Linked DNA regions of Elephas maximus indicus. The protein of the gene in region 1 interacts with the protein of each later gene in a biochemical or structural test. Links are inferred from orthologs where the notes say so. Each region holds a gene or a part of one and is shown in the gene's direction. Other genes may lie near its edges.

Evidence for each region. The genes of interacting proteins can lie anywhere in the genome.
Region 2: the proteins of BCL2 (region 1) and PMAIP1 interact in a biophysical measurement, tested with the Homo sapiens proteins (2 studies listed by BioGRID and IntAct, with this or other methods). The link is inferred for Elephas maximus indicus from reciprocal best matches to the Homo sapiens genes BCL2 and PMAIP1.

Annotation. Positions count from the first base shown.
Region 1 is NC_064829.1:71,624,948-71,632,662, reverse strand, and holds the start of BCL2 (apoptosis regulator Bcl-2), read left to right. Parts: upstream 1-4,377; 5' UTR 4,378-5,173; exon of another isoform or gene 5,174-5,388; 5' UTR 5,389-5,644; coding exon 5,645-6,199; exon of another isoform or gene 6,200-6,801; intron 6,802-7,715. UniProt on the Homo sapiens protein: Suppresses apoptosis in a variety of cell systems including factor-dependent lymphohematopoietic and neural cells. Regulates cell death by controlling the mitochondrial membrane permeability. Appears to function in a feedback loop system with caspases.
Region 2 is NC_064829.1:68,321,444-68,329,448, forward strand, and holds the start of PMAIP1 (phorbol-12-myristate-13-acetate-induced protein 1), read left to right. Parts: upstream 1-4,319; 5' UTR 4,320-4,478; coding exon 4,479-4,536; intron 4,537-7,594; coding exon 7,595-7,704; 3' UTR 7,705-8,005. UniProt on the Homo sapiens protein: Promotes activation of caspases and apoptosis. Promotes mitochondrial membrane changes and efflux of apoptogenic proteins from the mitochondria. Contributes to p53/TP53-dependent apoptosis after radiation exposure. Promotes proteasomal degradation of MCL1.

The DNA of each region.
Region 1 (7,715 bases):
TCAAATCCTTTGACCAGGTAAAGAGTGTGGCCCTATTCAGCATAAGTGATTGTAAGTCATAAATCAAAAACCAAACTTATTGCCACTGAGTGCATTCTGACTCATAGCAACCCCATGTATTACAGAGTAGAACTGCTCCATAGGTTTTTTTTTTTTTGGGCTGTAATCTTTATGGAAGCAAATTGCCAGGCCTTTCTTCCTTGGTGCTGGCGGGTGGGTTAGAACCGCCAGCCTTTAGGTTAGTGCAAATGTTTGCATCACCCATTGACCTGACCCATTGCAGCTGAGTTGATTCCGACTCATAGCGATCCTGTATCAAAAAAACCAAACCAAACCCACTGCCGCCGAGTCGATTCCGACTCATAGCGACCCTACAGGACAGAGTAGAACTGCCCAGCGACCCTATAGGACAAAGTAAAACTCCATGGAGTTTCCAAGGAGCAGCTGGTGAATTCAAACTGCTGACCTTTTGGTTAGCAGCCATAGCTCGCCGGGTCTCAGGAGGACTGGGACTTTCAACTTAACCACTGCACCACCAGGGATTCCTGAAAAACCTTTATTATGTATAAGATACTTAAAATTGGAAGCTTATTTTTTTTGAGTGCTTATCTAGGCCTGTAAGATATCAACTGTAAATAGTTCATTTTTCTTTTCTGGAAGTTAAATTGACTTACTACTTGTTTTTGCTCTCTCTAGTCAGTTGGTTTTGTTTATGGATTTATCTCCCTGTTGGTCTGCCTAAACGGTTTGGGGTCATGTTTCCTGTTTTTATATTTTTCATCTTATTAGTTATCAGTTCCCTCTAAGTTAATGGTCCGCTTATACCATTGTTTTAAATAAAAAGTTAGATAGTTGGGAAGATTTAATAGATACATATATTAAGTATGTCTACATTAGAATAATGTTCTTTTTGAATTTAATAAACTTCGGGAGCATTTATGCTGGTGATGGATGAAGATAAGTTTCTTAATTATTCGATTAAACACCAACCAGTAGGTGGCGAAAACTGGCAATAAAAAGCTTTTTGTTTGGCAGACTGGAGGTTAAAAAAGGAAAACACGCCTTTTAGACTCTTCATACAATCCCCAACCTGTGCATCTTGGCTCTTTTCTCTTCCTGGTGCCACCTTACTCTTACAATCCAAACAGGCAAAACTGGCAAAAGGGTCGTCCCTTTGCTCTAAACAGAGGAAGACATCTTGGAGAGAGTGTCTATTTGGAAGGCTGTTGATGGTCTCAGGCATGATCTAGGAGTCAAGCCCAGGACTTCTTCCACTACCTCACCATTACCCAAAGGCACACAGTTCATTTTACACCCTTTCTAGGAATACCTTCCCTTGTTTGAAATGGATTCCAATAAGCATGGAATCAGAAGGGAAGAATGGTTTCATTCTTTCAATTGAAAGAGTATAGAGACCATCCCCAGCGAATATATAGCCCTAGTTAAGGGCTATAATGCAGACCTGCTCTGAGAAAGTATTTGGTTAGAATCAAGATGTCACTTACGGAATTACTCTGAGAAAATCCTTGAAGTGAGGCTATATGGGAACAAAGAAAAGGAAAAAATACAGAAGCATTTCTTTCTCTGGGAAGAGGGGGTTTATTTCTTTCCGGTTGCCCTTTGCATAGTACAATCTCTTTTCTAGCTCTACCCTCTCATTTCCTCACTCATAAGCTGGGTCTCAGGAGGACTGAGGCTTTCAACTTCTTTTCTTAAAAAATTTTTGAGGTTTAAGACAAGTTTCTGAGACAATTCCATATGGGCTCATTTAAACCATTGTTGTTGTTGTGGTTAGCTGCCTTTGAGTCACCCCGGACTCATGGCCACCCCATGCGCAATGGAAGGAAACTCTGCCTAGTCCTACATCTTCCCCATGATCAGTTGGGGATCAGACTATTGTGATCCATAGGGTTTTTACTGGCTGATTTTTGGGGAAATACATCTCCAAGCCAAGAAAGGCTAGTCCGTCTGAGTCTGGAAGCTCTGCTGAAACCCGTTCAGCATCCTAGCAACACACAAGGCTCCAGTGACAGATGGGTGGTGGCTGTATATGAGGCACATTGGCCAGGAATTGAATCCAGGCCTCCCACATGGAAGGCGAGAATTCTACCACTGAATCACCACTGCTCCCCCCCCCCTTAAATCATAACGTTGTGGAATTAACACAGTTTTCTACTTATTTCTATGAGAACTTATATTCAAGGTCAATCTCTACCCAGTGTCTATGTCAAGCCAGAACACCTCCTCACCACTGCCCACAGGTCAAAGGGGACTCTCTGTCAGAGCCATCAGAAGTGTGGGAAGGAACATCTTTCTTTATTCCCCTTGCCTGGGTAAGAAGTTCGTACGAGGCATCCATTCCTATATATAAGACCTTTAAACGTTGGCTGACTGGGTATGATAAATGAAGAAATGAAAACAATTTGGTGTGCTCATTTTGCAAAGGAATAAATGCTTTTTTTTTTTTTTTACTAGAAATGAGAAAAATATCAAAGATGGTGTCAGAACATATTTGCACACATTGTAGGAATCATTTGTCACGTTTCTATAATAAGCCCCATGTCCCTATATATTTGCATTTGAGGCTATTAGGCTGCTGTGCTTTTGCTAAACATTTTGTTTCTTGGTGCTTTATTTGTCAAAGACTCTCAGAGATAAAAATAGTTAAACGTGTGCAACTTGTTTGTCCTCTTGTTCTTTTCGTCTCGGGGTTATTCGTGCTTATGCACAAAAAAATGTGTGGGGTGTATGTGTACATATATTTGTGTGTGTACATATATGCATGTGTGTGTACATATATGCATGTGTGTGTAAATGTGTATGTAAACATGTATGTGTGTGTATATACACATACATACACACACAGCAACACTCGGCTCCATGCAAGAAAGATGTGGCAGTTTGCTTCCCTAAAGATCGCAGTCTTGGAAACTCTATGGGGCAGTTCTACTCTGTCCTATAGAAATCAAAGGCAATGGGTTTGGTTTTGAAGATATCTATCTACTTTATCTACCTATCTAGTATCTATCTATCTACCTGTTTTCCATCTACCTACCTATCCAGTCCTTCTGACTCATGGGAACCCTATGTGTCACAGTAGAACTGTGGTCCATAGAGTTTTCAAGGCTGTGACCTTTAAAAAGCAAGTCGTCAGGTCTTTGTTCAACGGTGCCTCTTAGTGGATTCAAACTGCCAACTTTTAGGTTAGTAGCACTTGGTTGGTAGCCAACCACACTTAACCATTTGCGTTTATACACACACACACATATATACACAGATATACAATTTGAGAAGATGTAGCCATCAAGGGTTGGCTGCTTGGCAGAGGTGGAGACTTTCACAAACCCACTGTTAAGACTGTGGGCCTAGAAGTTGCCCTGTGGCCCTCCACAGGATCTAGCCCTAACCCAGTGCCGAAATTGTGAGGAGCAGAGAAAAAACACTGGCTTAACTATTGGAAAGCCCTTGATATCCTCCAGTCGGCCCTTCACTGGACCACTTAAAGTTATGTCTGGCCTTGGTCACAGATAGTGGCTTCAGGTTTAAACTGGGCCGGATGGTATGTGTTTAGGTGCCGGCAGGCGCGCGCGCGCTTGTGTGTGTGCTGCATGGACACCGAGGAAGCAACCTGAAAGTAAACAGGACGCTACCGCGCTTCCCTCGCTAACAAATGCGCGGAATGGGTAGGGTCGCCTCTTCACGGGAGGGCAGCGCCGAGGTCCCGGCTGCGGTCAGCACCGGCCTAGGTCCGCCATGGGCCGAGCGCTGGTAACTCGCTGTGTGCGCGCGCGCACACACACAACACACACACACACACGCATACGCTTTGAAAGGGTCAAAGCGAATCCTCTGCGCTTCTCCAAGGCTTGTTTGCATGGCGCACCACCCGGCCCTTCTCTGCGCTCTGCTGCCGGCTGGCAGAGTGCAGTCCCCGACGCCCTGGCCTCTCGCTCCGCTCGCTCGCCCGCGGCCCCGAGAGCCGGCCGCCGCAGGCCCGAGGAGGCCGCGCACACCCACCGCGCCCGGTCGCGCGGGAGGCCTGTGTCGCGCGCCACCCACCGGCCGGGCTCGCTGGCGGGCGGTGGTGGCCGAGCAGGCGGCCTCCAGCACGCCCCTCACTGCGGCCCCGCGCCCAGGCCCACGGCGGGCTCGCGGCTCGGGCCCGGGCGCGGTGCCTTTAACCGGGCCGGGAGCGGGCTCCGAGGCGGGCGCGCTCTGGCTTCTTTTTTTGAATGAACAGTGTGACGTACACACAGGAAACCAGCGGGTCTGTGAGGAGAATGAAGTCAGAGCGCCCCCCCGCCCGCCGTCCTCCCCGCCCCCTCCGCCGCCGCGCGCCCGCCCGCCGCCCTGGGGTCCCCGCCGAGCCGCCGCTGCCGCCAGTGACTGCGCGGCCGGGCCTCCCGGCGGTCCCCGCTCCGAGCGGGCTGCGCGCGGGAGCAGCGGGGGGCGGCGCGCAGGGCCCGGAGGCGGCGGAGGAGAAAGGGTGCGCAGCCTGGAGGCGGGGTGCGCCGTGGGGTGCAGCGGAAGCGGGGGTCCAGGGGGGAGAACTTCGTAGCCGTCATCCTTTTTAGGAAAAGAGGGAAAAAATAAAGCCTCCGCCCCGCCTTCTCCCCACCCCTCGCGGCACCACACACAGCGCTGTGCTCGCGCGGCCCGGGCCGGCGTCCGCCGCCGCGTTGCTCCAGCGGCTCTCCGGGAAATGCTCGCTGCTCGCAGTTTTACCCGAAGAGGACTGACTCCTGTCCCCGCCCGGTCCTCCAGCGTCCCCGCCCCGCCTGTCCCTCTCCCGGGGAGGCGTGCAGGGCCCCGCGGAGAGCGACGCCTGTGCCCGCGCGCGCGTGTGTGTGCGCGCGTGGAAATTGCCCAGAGGGGACATCGCTGGACTTCTGCAAATACCGGACTGAAAATTGTAATTCATCTGCCGCCGCTGCCTTTTCCCTCGTGCTGGGGATTCCTACTGGTTGACATTTCTGTGCAGCAGAAGTCTGGGGATCATTCTGGAAATTCTTCTGATTTTTAACCCCCCGCCCCCCAACTCCTGATTCCTCTGGAAGTTTCTCAGCAGCTCTAACTGGAGAGCTCAGAAGATTGATGGGATTCTTGCCTTATGCGTTTATTTGTACAAAAAAGGAAGCTTGACAGAGGATCATGCTACCCCTAAAAAATACAAGTAAGTTCTTTGCACAGGAAATGGGCTTCATGTAACTTTTGATGGAAACATTTGAGATTTTAACTTTAAGTGCATTCGAGTAAGTTGGATTTCCAGGCAGTTGAATCCATTCTTTTGAGCTGTGAAACTTGTAGTGTGTATGTCCCGCTTGCACCCGGTGTATAAAGGAAAATGCACCTGATTTTGACTATGTCTTTTTTTTTTTAACCTTTCAGCATCACGGAGGAAGTAGACCTATAGTGCAATAATTATTAATAATAATAACGTGCCTCATGCAATAAAGATCCAAAAGGAATTTAAATAAAAATTTCCTGAATCCCATGCCAAGGGGGAAACCCCAGAGTCGAGTTCCGCGTGACTGAAGACACCCCCTCTTCCAAGAATGCAAAGCACATCCAATAAAATCGTTGGATTATAACTCTTCTCTTGGCTTTTGGGGGCGCGGGCTGGGAGCGGGGCCGAGCGGGAAGGATGGCGCACGCAGGGAGAACAGGTTATGACAACCGGGAGATAGTGATGAAGTATATCCACTATAAGCTGTCGCAGCGGGGCTACGAATGGGAGGCTGGCGAAGCTAGCGCCGCGCCCCCCGGGGCCGCTCCCGCGCCGGGCGTCCTCTCTTCTCCGCCCGCGGCGCCCCGGGGCCCGGACACCAGGACCTCGCCGCTCCAGGCTGACCCGACCGCGCAGCCGGCGCTCAGCCCGGTGCCACCTGTAGTTCACCTGACCTTGCGCCAGGCCGGCGACGACTTCTCCAGGCGCTACCGCCGCGACTTCGCCGAGATGTCGAGCCAGCTGCACCTGACTCCCTTCACCGCGAGGGGACGCTTTGCCACGGTGGTGGAGGAGCTCTTCAGGGACGGGGTGAACTGGGGGCGGATTGTGGCCTTCTTTGAGTTCGGTGGGGTCATGTGTGTGGAGAGCGTCAACCGGGAGATGTCGCCCCTGGTGGACAACATCGCCCTCTGGATGACTGAGTACCTGAACCGGCACCTGCACACCTGGATCCAGGATAACGGAGGATGGGTAGGTGCATGTGTGGTTGAATGGGAGTCTGTGCTTGAGGTCTGAGGTGGAGACGCAGTGGTTGATGTGTGGGTGGACTCCGGGGTCAAGGGGAGTCTGTTGAGAAAGCAACCAGGTTACTTTCTTCCCTGCTTCCCTCCTTCTTCCACCTAACAAGGCTTTCCCTGGCAACCCTTCTGTGATAATTTCTTCCGCCGAAGGGGTTTTCCTTGAGTGTCAGCCGTTGAAGTTCAGTGATCCAGCATTGGCTTTCCAGTAGGTTCTTGTGGTAAATGGGATCCCTTGAATGTTTCTCAAGCCTGTGGTCCAGGCAACACTCCCCCAATCAGTTACCTGGCTCAGGTAGCTTGTTGACATTGGCGATTTCAGGGGTCACTCATGCCTACTGAACCAGACCCCAGGGTTCGGTCTTGACAATTTGCATTTAAACAAGTTCCCCCGAGGGATTCTTCTGTGTGCCAAAATTTGAGAACCACACAGAAGAACAGACTCCACCAGAGGACCAAGGTGATGTCTTCTTTGAATCACTTAGTAAAATTTACCCAAAGAGGAAAACAAATATATCCTCTTTCCGTGGAAAACTTAGCTGTGTTTGTAAAGAGGTAAGTTGCCATTCCAGAAGTCCTTGGACACTAGCCTACAGTGTGTATCACATTCCCAGTGGGCGTGACAGTCTGTCTTGAAGAATGTTAGATATAGATGTTTTGCCTTAACTCCTTGGTGACAGAATTTGCATCGGCTGCATGCATCGTGGGCTATTTTTATAACTAGTGTATGATTTAAAAGTTTATTAGAATCTTAGTGTCTTTTACTTTTCACCACCTAGAATCCACATAATTTTGTTGTCTCCTCTGCTAAAAATGCTTACATCTAGGGTATCTGTGTGATGTGTAGAAGAATTGATTCTTAGCTGTGGATTCTCTCATGCCTTGCTGTGAGTTGAAGTGATTGATACCTGCAGCTTTGAAGAACACCTGTGAGGTGATTTGTTTCTGGTACGGTGCTCCACAGAGCTTCCGTGATTTTGCCATGCCGTTGTTCTTTTCCGTGATTCTTTTGGGGGAGGGGTGCAGATCCTATGACTCAAGAATTGTAATTCAAATCAACATCTCATATCTAAATGTATGAATTGTGAAAAAATAAAAGAAGATAATTCTTGTCTGAGGTTATTTTAGGACTTTTGTTTTAATCTGAGGACTTATCTTTGGAAAAGGATGCAATTCATTGCTTTCTCTTACAGTCCCTTGGGAGAATTACTAATGGAATTATTGTATAGGACTGAAGAACAAAAAGTCTGGAAATGACTACAAGTGGCTTAGAATTCAAGAAGCACATTACATGTTTTACTACGTTTTACAAAGTGTCCTAATACTAAGGGGCCCAAAAGAGAAAAGGTCAAGAAAAACAGATGACTTTGACCAAAGTTGACAAAAATTTTGATGCCCATGTTGGGTGTTTAAAATTAACTCACATATCTTTGTTTATATCTCTGAAATCTAAATGTTCTTTGTGAGTT
Region 2 (8,005 bases), about 3.3 Mb from region 1:
CCGTCAAATCTGTAAAGTACTAATCTCTTCACTGCAGGTTCCCTGGGGGCTGGGAACACTGTCTCCCCAGAGATTAGCCCGATGTCTGTCTTCAAGTAAATAGAGATTTAATTGATCAATGCTTCAGCCTCATCTCATGTTCACAAACACACTACACAGGAAAAAACCACATCCCCTTCTATCAGCATAAACCTAATCAGATCTACAGCCTGTACCTTTCATGCCAGGCTTCTTCAGGACACCCCCCCACTCATCGCATATCCTTGTTTCCTGTCAAATCCCATTTTCTCCAAGAAACATATAAATGACCCCTTTATTACTTATGCTTGTTTGTTTCACTATATTTTTAGCTCTAAATGACAGCACAAAGTGGCCAGATTGTCACGGTCATTTTTGAACTTAGTAAATTCGTAAAAACTGATTATCTGTTAATAGTTTTAAAATTATCATCCTCATCAGTCCTATATTTAAAAACAAATTTTTTTTTTTTTTAAGAAGATAGTAGGGGATCTCTCTGCTTCGTGGTAAATCTTCATTATTTTCTCAGCCTGTCGCTGGGTGAGTAGGTTCCGATTCACAGCGACCCCGTGTACAATAGAATGAAACGCTGCTGGGTCCTGTGCTATCCTCACAATCATTGCTGTTTGTCAGCCTCCCAGACCCAAACCCACTGCCATCAAGTCGATTTTGACTAGTAGCGACCCCACAGGACAGAGTAGAACTGCCCCATAGAGTTTCCAAGGAGCACCTGGCAGATTCGAACTGCCGACCATTTTGGCTCGCAGCCATAGCATTTAACCACTACACCACCAGGGTTTCCTTGTCAGCCTGGATGGACTAAATATTCCAATATGTTTATATGTTGTTCAAGTCCAACATTAAATGATACACCACCTTTGCAGAAAGGTATACATTCGACAGTGGTTTTTCACACTCAGCTTCTCACGACTCTCACTACATTCCCTTATAGAATGTTAGATCAGATCTGAAAGAGTTTATGGCTCATATCAAATCTAAAGGCATAAAAAGTCCTTCATAATCCACTTTGTTTTGATCCAGCCCTGAAGTCTACCTTCCCCTATCTCTCTCCTCCCTTTTCTTCCCAGCGAGTTAGTGCTTGGCTGTTAAATGAAAGGTTGGCAGTGTGAACCCACACAGCAGCTTGAGGCAGAAAGACCTGGCAATCTGCTTCTGTAAAGATTAAAAAAAAAGCCCAGAAAACCCTATGAGACAGTTCTAAACTGTTACATGGGGTTCCTATGGGTCGGAATTGACTTGACGGCATCCCACAACAGCAACAACCAAATAGACTGCAGACTCTACAGACTTGCCTAAGATTTATTTCCCTTATTATTATTTTTTTTTATGGGTTACATAGGAGCCCTGGTGGTGTAGCGGTGAAGAGCTTAGGCTGCTAACCAAAAGGTCTGCAGTTTGAATCCACCAGCTGCTCCTTGGAAACCCTACGGGGCAGTTCTACTTTCTCCTATACAGCCCAGTGTGAGTTGGAATCAACTGGAGGGCAATAGGTTTGGTTTTTTTATGGGTCACATGACCAATGACCTTTTATAATGACAATGCCAGAGGGCAGGACTGACAGGCCTTTGGTAGGTAAACACTGTTATACTACACTTTTCTTATGCTGATTCTATTCACTGCATTTCAGGGTGCATAATTTGAACAGAAGTTTACCAATTTATTCAATGCAGGAGTTAATGTCTATGTTAAGTATGTAAAAACTAGCCTTGAGGGGGCCACACTGCCTTTGGGATCTCAGGTTTGCGGTAACATTTCCAGGCGGCATCTTCCCTCTTCCAGCTGGGTCCTGTGGTGGCGACTCCTGAATTCCGTCTGCTCCGATCCTGATCTGTTTGCCACACTCAAAAGCACCCAACATCAGCCTCAAAACTAAGCTGTTTAAATTCAAGGGTAGCTTTGTGTTATGCTTATAGCTTCGTCTGCACCCTCTGCAGGACGACACCATAAATAAAATGCTTGCTGGTTTGTGTTGATTGACTGATTTAAGATAAATAAGCAAACTCAAATGCCTACAGGGGCCAGATAGCGTAAAGCACTAAAGCAAACAGAGCAGGGAGTGTGGTAAACAGGAGCGCCTACTGCTCCTCCGAAGGACCGGCCTGCGGCCACACTTTCAGTCTATTTTCCACTTTTGGAACAGAACCCAAGGTTGTCAGAGCTTCTAATTTTCTAATGCTGTTAGATGCCATCGAGTTGGTATGACCGTACATAACAATGAAACGTTGCTGTGTCCTGTGCCATTCTCACAATAGCAGGAATGTTTGAGTCCATCGTTGCAGCTACTGTGTCAGTCCATCTTGTTGGGGTCTTTTTCTTTTTTACTGACCCTCTAGTGGTTAATGGAGCACTGGTGGTGCAGCGTTTAAGTGCTTGGCTGCTAACCAAAAGGTCGGCAGTTTGAATCTACCAGCCACTCCTTGAAAACCGGATGGGGCACTTCTACTCTGTCCTATAGGGTGGCTAGGAGTAAGAACTGACTCGATGCCAACGGGTTCTACTTTACCAAGTACGATGTCCTTCTCCAGGGATTGGGCCTTCCTGATAACATGCCCAAACCTGGCTTTTATTAATTTCTCAATTTTTAAATACTGGTAATCAATTCAAATTTTCACAAGACACTTTGCAGGCAAATATTATGAGCCAAACCAAACACTTCTGGGGAGCCACAAAATTCTCAGCAGCCAGGGTGCAACCTCTGCATTAAGCGGTGCAGATAAATCATGAACACTCGTTTTCTAAGAAACTGCGATTGCTGGCTGTAAAGGCTAAGAGCTCTGGCTCCAGGCGGGCCAGCCTGGGTTCAGGTCCTGGCACTGCCCTCTCCCTACGCAGACTTGGGCAACTTAAGCTCTATAACCCTCAGATTCCACACCTGTAAAGTGGCCATGATCTTAATACCTGCTTCCTAGGGGTGTTGTGAGGCCCCTTAGTAAGAAGTGGTCCTCAATACCTTCTAACTATTCCTAATTTCTCTTCTCTTCATAACAATGGCATGACTGAAGCATCAAACATTGTGCAAAAGATTTCACAGTCCCAGATATCTCATTCCTCTCTTCATGCACCTGAGGTTTCTCCGTATTATCACCCATCCTTTTTTGTGTATCCAAACGGAACATGCTCTACTTTAAAAAAAAAAAAAAATTATTCGTTGTTGTGAGAATATACACAGCTAAACGTATACCAATCCAGCAATTTCTGTGTACAGTTCAGTGACACTGATTACATTCAAGTTGAGCAACCATTCGCACCCTCCTCTGAGTTGTTCCTCCCATTAACATAACTCACAGCTCTCTAAGGTTCCTATCTGATTTTTTGAGTCGAATATGCTCTACTTCTAAAATCACAGATCTAACCCGGGCGAAAACCAAGCCCCCTTACACACACACACACACACACACCCCTTTTCTGTTCCCCCTTACACACACACACACACACACACACCCCTTTTCTGTTATTAAAGGTCTGTGCTTGTCACTTCGCTGGAGCTAGCCCGGCTCTCTTAGTGTGAAAACCTTTCTTTCCTGAACTCTTTCCGGGGATTGTTTACAGATATCTCTAATTGCTTATTTATGATAAGGACAAGGCAAGTACTTTCCCCCACCCTACCTTTCCTGCCAGGAAAACCTTTCTTCTCTTGCAATTCTTAAAACCACGCTACAACCGCAGCCTGCTCTACGACCGGTTGTTGCAAATTCTCTGTCCCTACGGCGTCTCCGGAAACCTTGGTGGCGCAGTGGTGAAGAGCCATGTCTGCTAACCAAAAGGTCGGCAGTTTGAATCCACCAGGCGCTCCCTGGAAACCGTATGGGGCAGTTCTACTCTGTCCTATAGGGTCGCTGTGAGTCGGAATCGACTCGATGGCAATGATTTTTTTTGGTTTTACCGCGTCTCCTCTCCCAGTCATTTCAGGAAGTGATTTAGGGGCTGGGGAAAGGTCTCGCCACAGTCTTCCGCACTCGGAAGGCGCTGCAGGCGCCCTAGACGGCCGCCGCCTGGCCCGCCCAGCGCCCCGCTGCGGGACGGGAGCGCGGCCGGGGGTCGGTGTCCGGGGTGCGGCGCCACCGCGGGTGCGGAGCGGGGCCCGGAGTCGGCGCCGCTGCAGGTCCGCGCTCTGCGCCAGCCGCGCAGCTGAGTTTCCCGCGGTCCTGGCCGGGACGCGCTCCTCCCACAGCGACGTCCTGGCTGGCGGAGAGGGGGCGGTGCGGGCGTTAAGTTTCCCTACGTCACCGGGAAGTCCCTTTAAGTGCAGCGCGCGGGGGGGCGGGGGGACCTCAGAGTGTCCGAGCGCGTACAGAGTTCGGTCACACCTCCGCCTGTCTCCCGCCTGGTGCAGTGTACTCCCCGCGCTCTGCCCGCATCCTGCAGTCAGAGCCCTGGGAACTCGCTTGGGGACTGTGCTCGCGGGTTCGCCGCAGAGCTGCGAACGGCTGCTGACCGAGATGCCGGGGAAGAAGGCACGCAAGAGCGCGCAGCCCGGCCCTGCCGGGACCCCGGCAGGTACTCAACAGCCGGGCCGGGGGGACCAGGCAGGCCGGGGGGACCAGGCGGGCCGGGGTGGCGGTCTCGGGCGGGCGGGCAGGGTCGGGGCTCGGGCCGGCGGGGATGGGGCTCAGGCCCAGACTGCATGCGGTTCCAGGTCCGGCCAGGTCTGCCCGCCTGCGATGCCACCAGGAAGCCCTTGCGGGGCTTTCCCAGGACCGTGGAGGCGGCCTGGGAGGAAGCTTTGCTTGGTATTGGGATGTAGCTACGTTTCAGACGGGACAGAAAGCTCCCCTGTCTTCCCCCTCCCTACAGACACACAAGCCGATTGCCCTGCGCTGGGGCCGTGGGACAAAAAAGTGCAAGTGCAGGCGGCTGCAGTGAGCAGAAAGTCACTGTCATGGCAGGTGGGGTGGGAGCGGGCCCCCCTTCGGAGCCTGCACCCCAGCGCTGCCCGCGACAGGCCTTTCCCTCCCGAGTCGTGGTCCTCTGACGGTCTCTGCTCTGTTACCAAAAACCCACTACGCGGTACTTAAAGCTTGTTACTGCCTCGGCTTCTCCACACAGGGCTAATTGAGGGTTTATAGGGACCCCGCAAGAACCTCGACATTTAGGAACCTAGAAAGTTTTCTTTCTTCGAAGCTTAAGAGTGTACCTCTTAAATGGTCCATATTAATTGCAGCGGGGGTGGGGGTGGCGCTAGATAGATGAGTGGAGGTTGGTCCCCAAGCCTTTTCCACCCATCCATCCGTTCCTCGCTCCATCCCCCGCACACAGATCTCCATCAGGTGACTTTTTAAGTCACCGCCCCCCCCATCCTTTCATAAATCTTATCAAAGAAGGCAGCCATCAGTAAGGGGCAGTAGCGAGGAAGGGCCCTAGGCCTCTGGGCTTGAAATCCGTGTAGGTCCTACTGCTGTTGCATCAGAAGACTAATAGACACCTCTTAGTTTCGTTTTATAAAGCCGTTGGGGCGGCAGAGGAAGTGGGGGTGCTTTGTGAACGTGGAGATGGCTGTGTGCAACCAGGCCGCCCTTTCTGGATCTTGGCGTGGGGTGAAAAAAGCTTTGACGACTTCTTGTGAAGTTCAAAGTTCTGACCGTGTTCCTTAAAGATTTGCCGGGAACCTGTGCGTAGCCCTCCCAGGCTCCATCTACTTAGTTCGCGGTAACAAGGAACAGCAGGAAGTCCCTCTTAAACTTGATTAGATATTAGTACATTTACAGGTGTGCAACTATAAAAAAAAAGTTAAAGAAATAACTAGGAGCTATTTTTTTTTTTGTGAAAGGAATCATTTTTGCTCTTAGAATTCAGGGCTCCCAGAATATTATGCTGAATGATATCTTGTCAGTTGCCATCAAGTCGGTTCTGATGCTAATATCCCACTCACTGAAAAGTAAACTTTTCTTTGTAAATTCTTTTCAAAATGTTTGGAGTAAACCCGACCCTATAGTCTATAAAGAATGGCATCTTAAGAGATCTATTAAAAAACAAAAACCCGAGCCCATTGCTGTGGAGTCGATTCTGACTCATAGCGACCCTACAGGACAGGGTAGAGCTGCCGCCGTGGAGTTTCCAAGGAGCGGCTGGTGAATTCGAACTGACAGCGTTTGGTTAGCAGCCAAGTTCTTAGCCACTGCAGCACCAGGACTCTTGAGAGCTATTAGTTCTCCAAAAATTACTTTCTAAAAGGGTCAGGAGCCCTGATGGGGCAGTGGTTAAGAGCGCAGCTGCTAACCAAAACGTCATCAGTTCAAATCCACCAGCCGCTCCTTGGAAACCCTATGGGGCAGCTCTATTCTGCCCTATAGGGTGGCTATGAGCTTCTTCCTACACAGTGTAGGGGTCGGAATGGACTTGCCGGCAACGGGTTTGGTTTGAACAGGGGTAAGGAAAGATTTTGCCAGCTCTTGGAGAGAAATTGATTAAAATGGAGGTTTAAAAACCTGTTTTACTGTATATTTACAGTTTTCATTTATTTTGAGCCCAGCCACTACTTAAGAGCTGGAGCTTCTAACCAAAAGGTCGGCAGTTGTAATCTGCCAGGCACTCCTTGAAAATCCTATGGGGCAGTTCTACTCTGTCCTGGGTCGCTATGAGTGGTAACTGACTGGACAGCAACGGGTTTTTTTTTTTTTTCCCACGATTTGTAGTCAGAGATTTTTAATGTTCATAATCATTATTTTCAAGTGGACTAAAAGACCCTGAGTTGCTCTTTGAAATATCAGAGAAAATTAAAATTATCCTTAGTATAGATTTAGAATTAATTTCATTTACTTATGAATTTACTTGGAAATTAGGTCTAAGTATTCTTTTTCTTAAATTAATATTCAGTTAACTACAGTATCTCAATTCTAAAAAGCAGGGAACTTAATAGAAATTTAACATTACTTGTTTTCTGCTTCAGTCGTCTCCATAAAGGCAATGGATTGGTACAGATTGGGCTTGTAGGAAGAAATTTTTGCTAGAGTAAAATGTAAACTTTTAAATTATTTAAGAGAATTTGCACTTAGAAATTTTGAAATAAAATTAATGAGTTTTATGATAAAAATTCAAAGGGATTTTTTTTTAATGAGGAAAAGGATAAATTTAGATTGGCCTATTATTGAGGGTAAAACCTAAGCGATGAATTATTGACATTTAAAAAATGAATTCTATTTGAAAAACAACACAGAAGGGTTTAGAATTTGGCTTCTGTTCCCCGACCAACCTTAAGTGAGAGAGAAAAGGATGACCTCACCTGGGATTGCTAAAGATAGACTAAAGTTACTCTGTGGTGTTTGACATATTAAATTTCCGTATTTCAAAGTAACATTTGCCTCATTCAGGATGCTTTCTAAAAACAAAATTCAAAATAACCGTCTTTATTTTTACCTCTACTATTTTTTGTTGTTGTTTATGAATCACAGTGTGCTACTGGGTGTGTATGTGTTGGGTCTTTCTATGTCTTACATTCAGAGGTCAGGCTTACATAAAGCTAAGATAAATAACTCACTTGGATGGGCGTATTAACTCTAGTTGAGTACAGTTTGGATTGTTGCCAGTGCTAATGTCAGTATTTTGCTTTCCTTTTCAGAGCGCGATGTTGTCGAGTGTGCTATTCAACTCAGGAGAATTGGAGACAAAATTAATTTCCGGCAGAAACTTCTGAATGTGATATGCAAGCTCTTCTGCTCAGGCACCTGACTGATTCAGATCCTTTGAAAGAGGAGATTCCTTTAAAATGGAAGATCCCCTCGTAGGTGCAAATTTCACCAGCTGTGATCCTGGGGAACATAAAGCAGCCCTTGCTTGCTTTTTGAATACGTTTGGAAATGAAGACGGAGGTTTCCCAGAAGCCATTCTTTGGGATTTTGTTTGTTTGAAAGCAAGAATAGAAGATCCTTGAAATAAGGAAGTAATTACTTATACATTTCTTTTTTGCTTAGAGAATTGTTCTAGTATTTCCTGTGAAGGTGCTTTCCACGTTAGAGGAGTTGATGAAAGA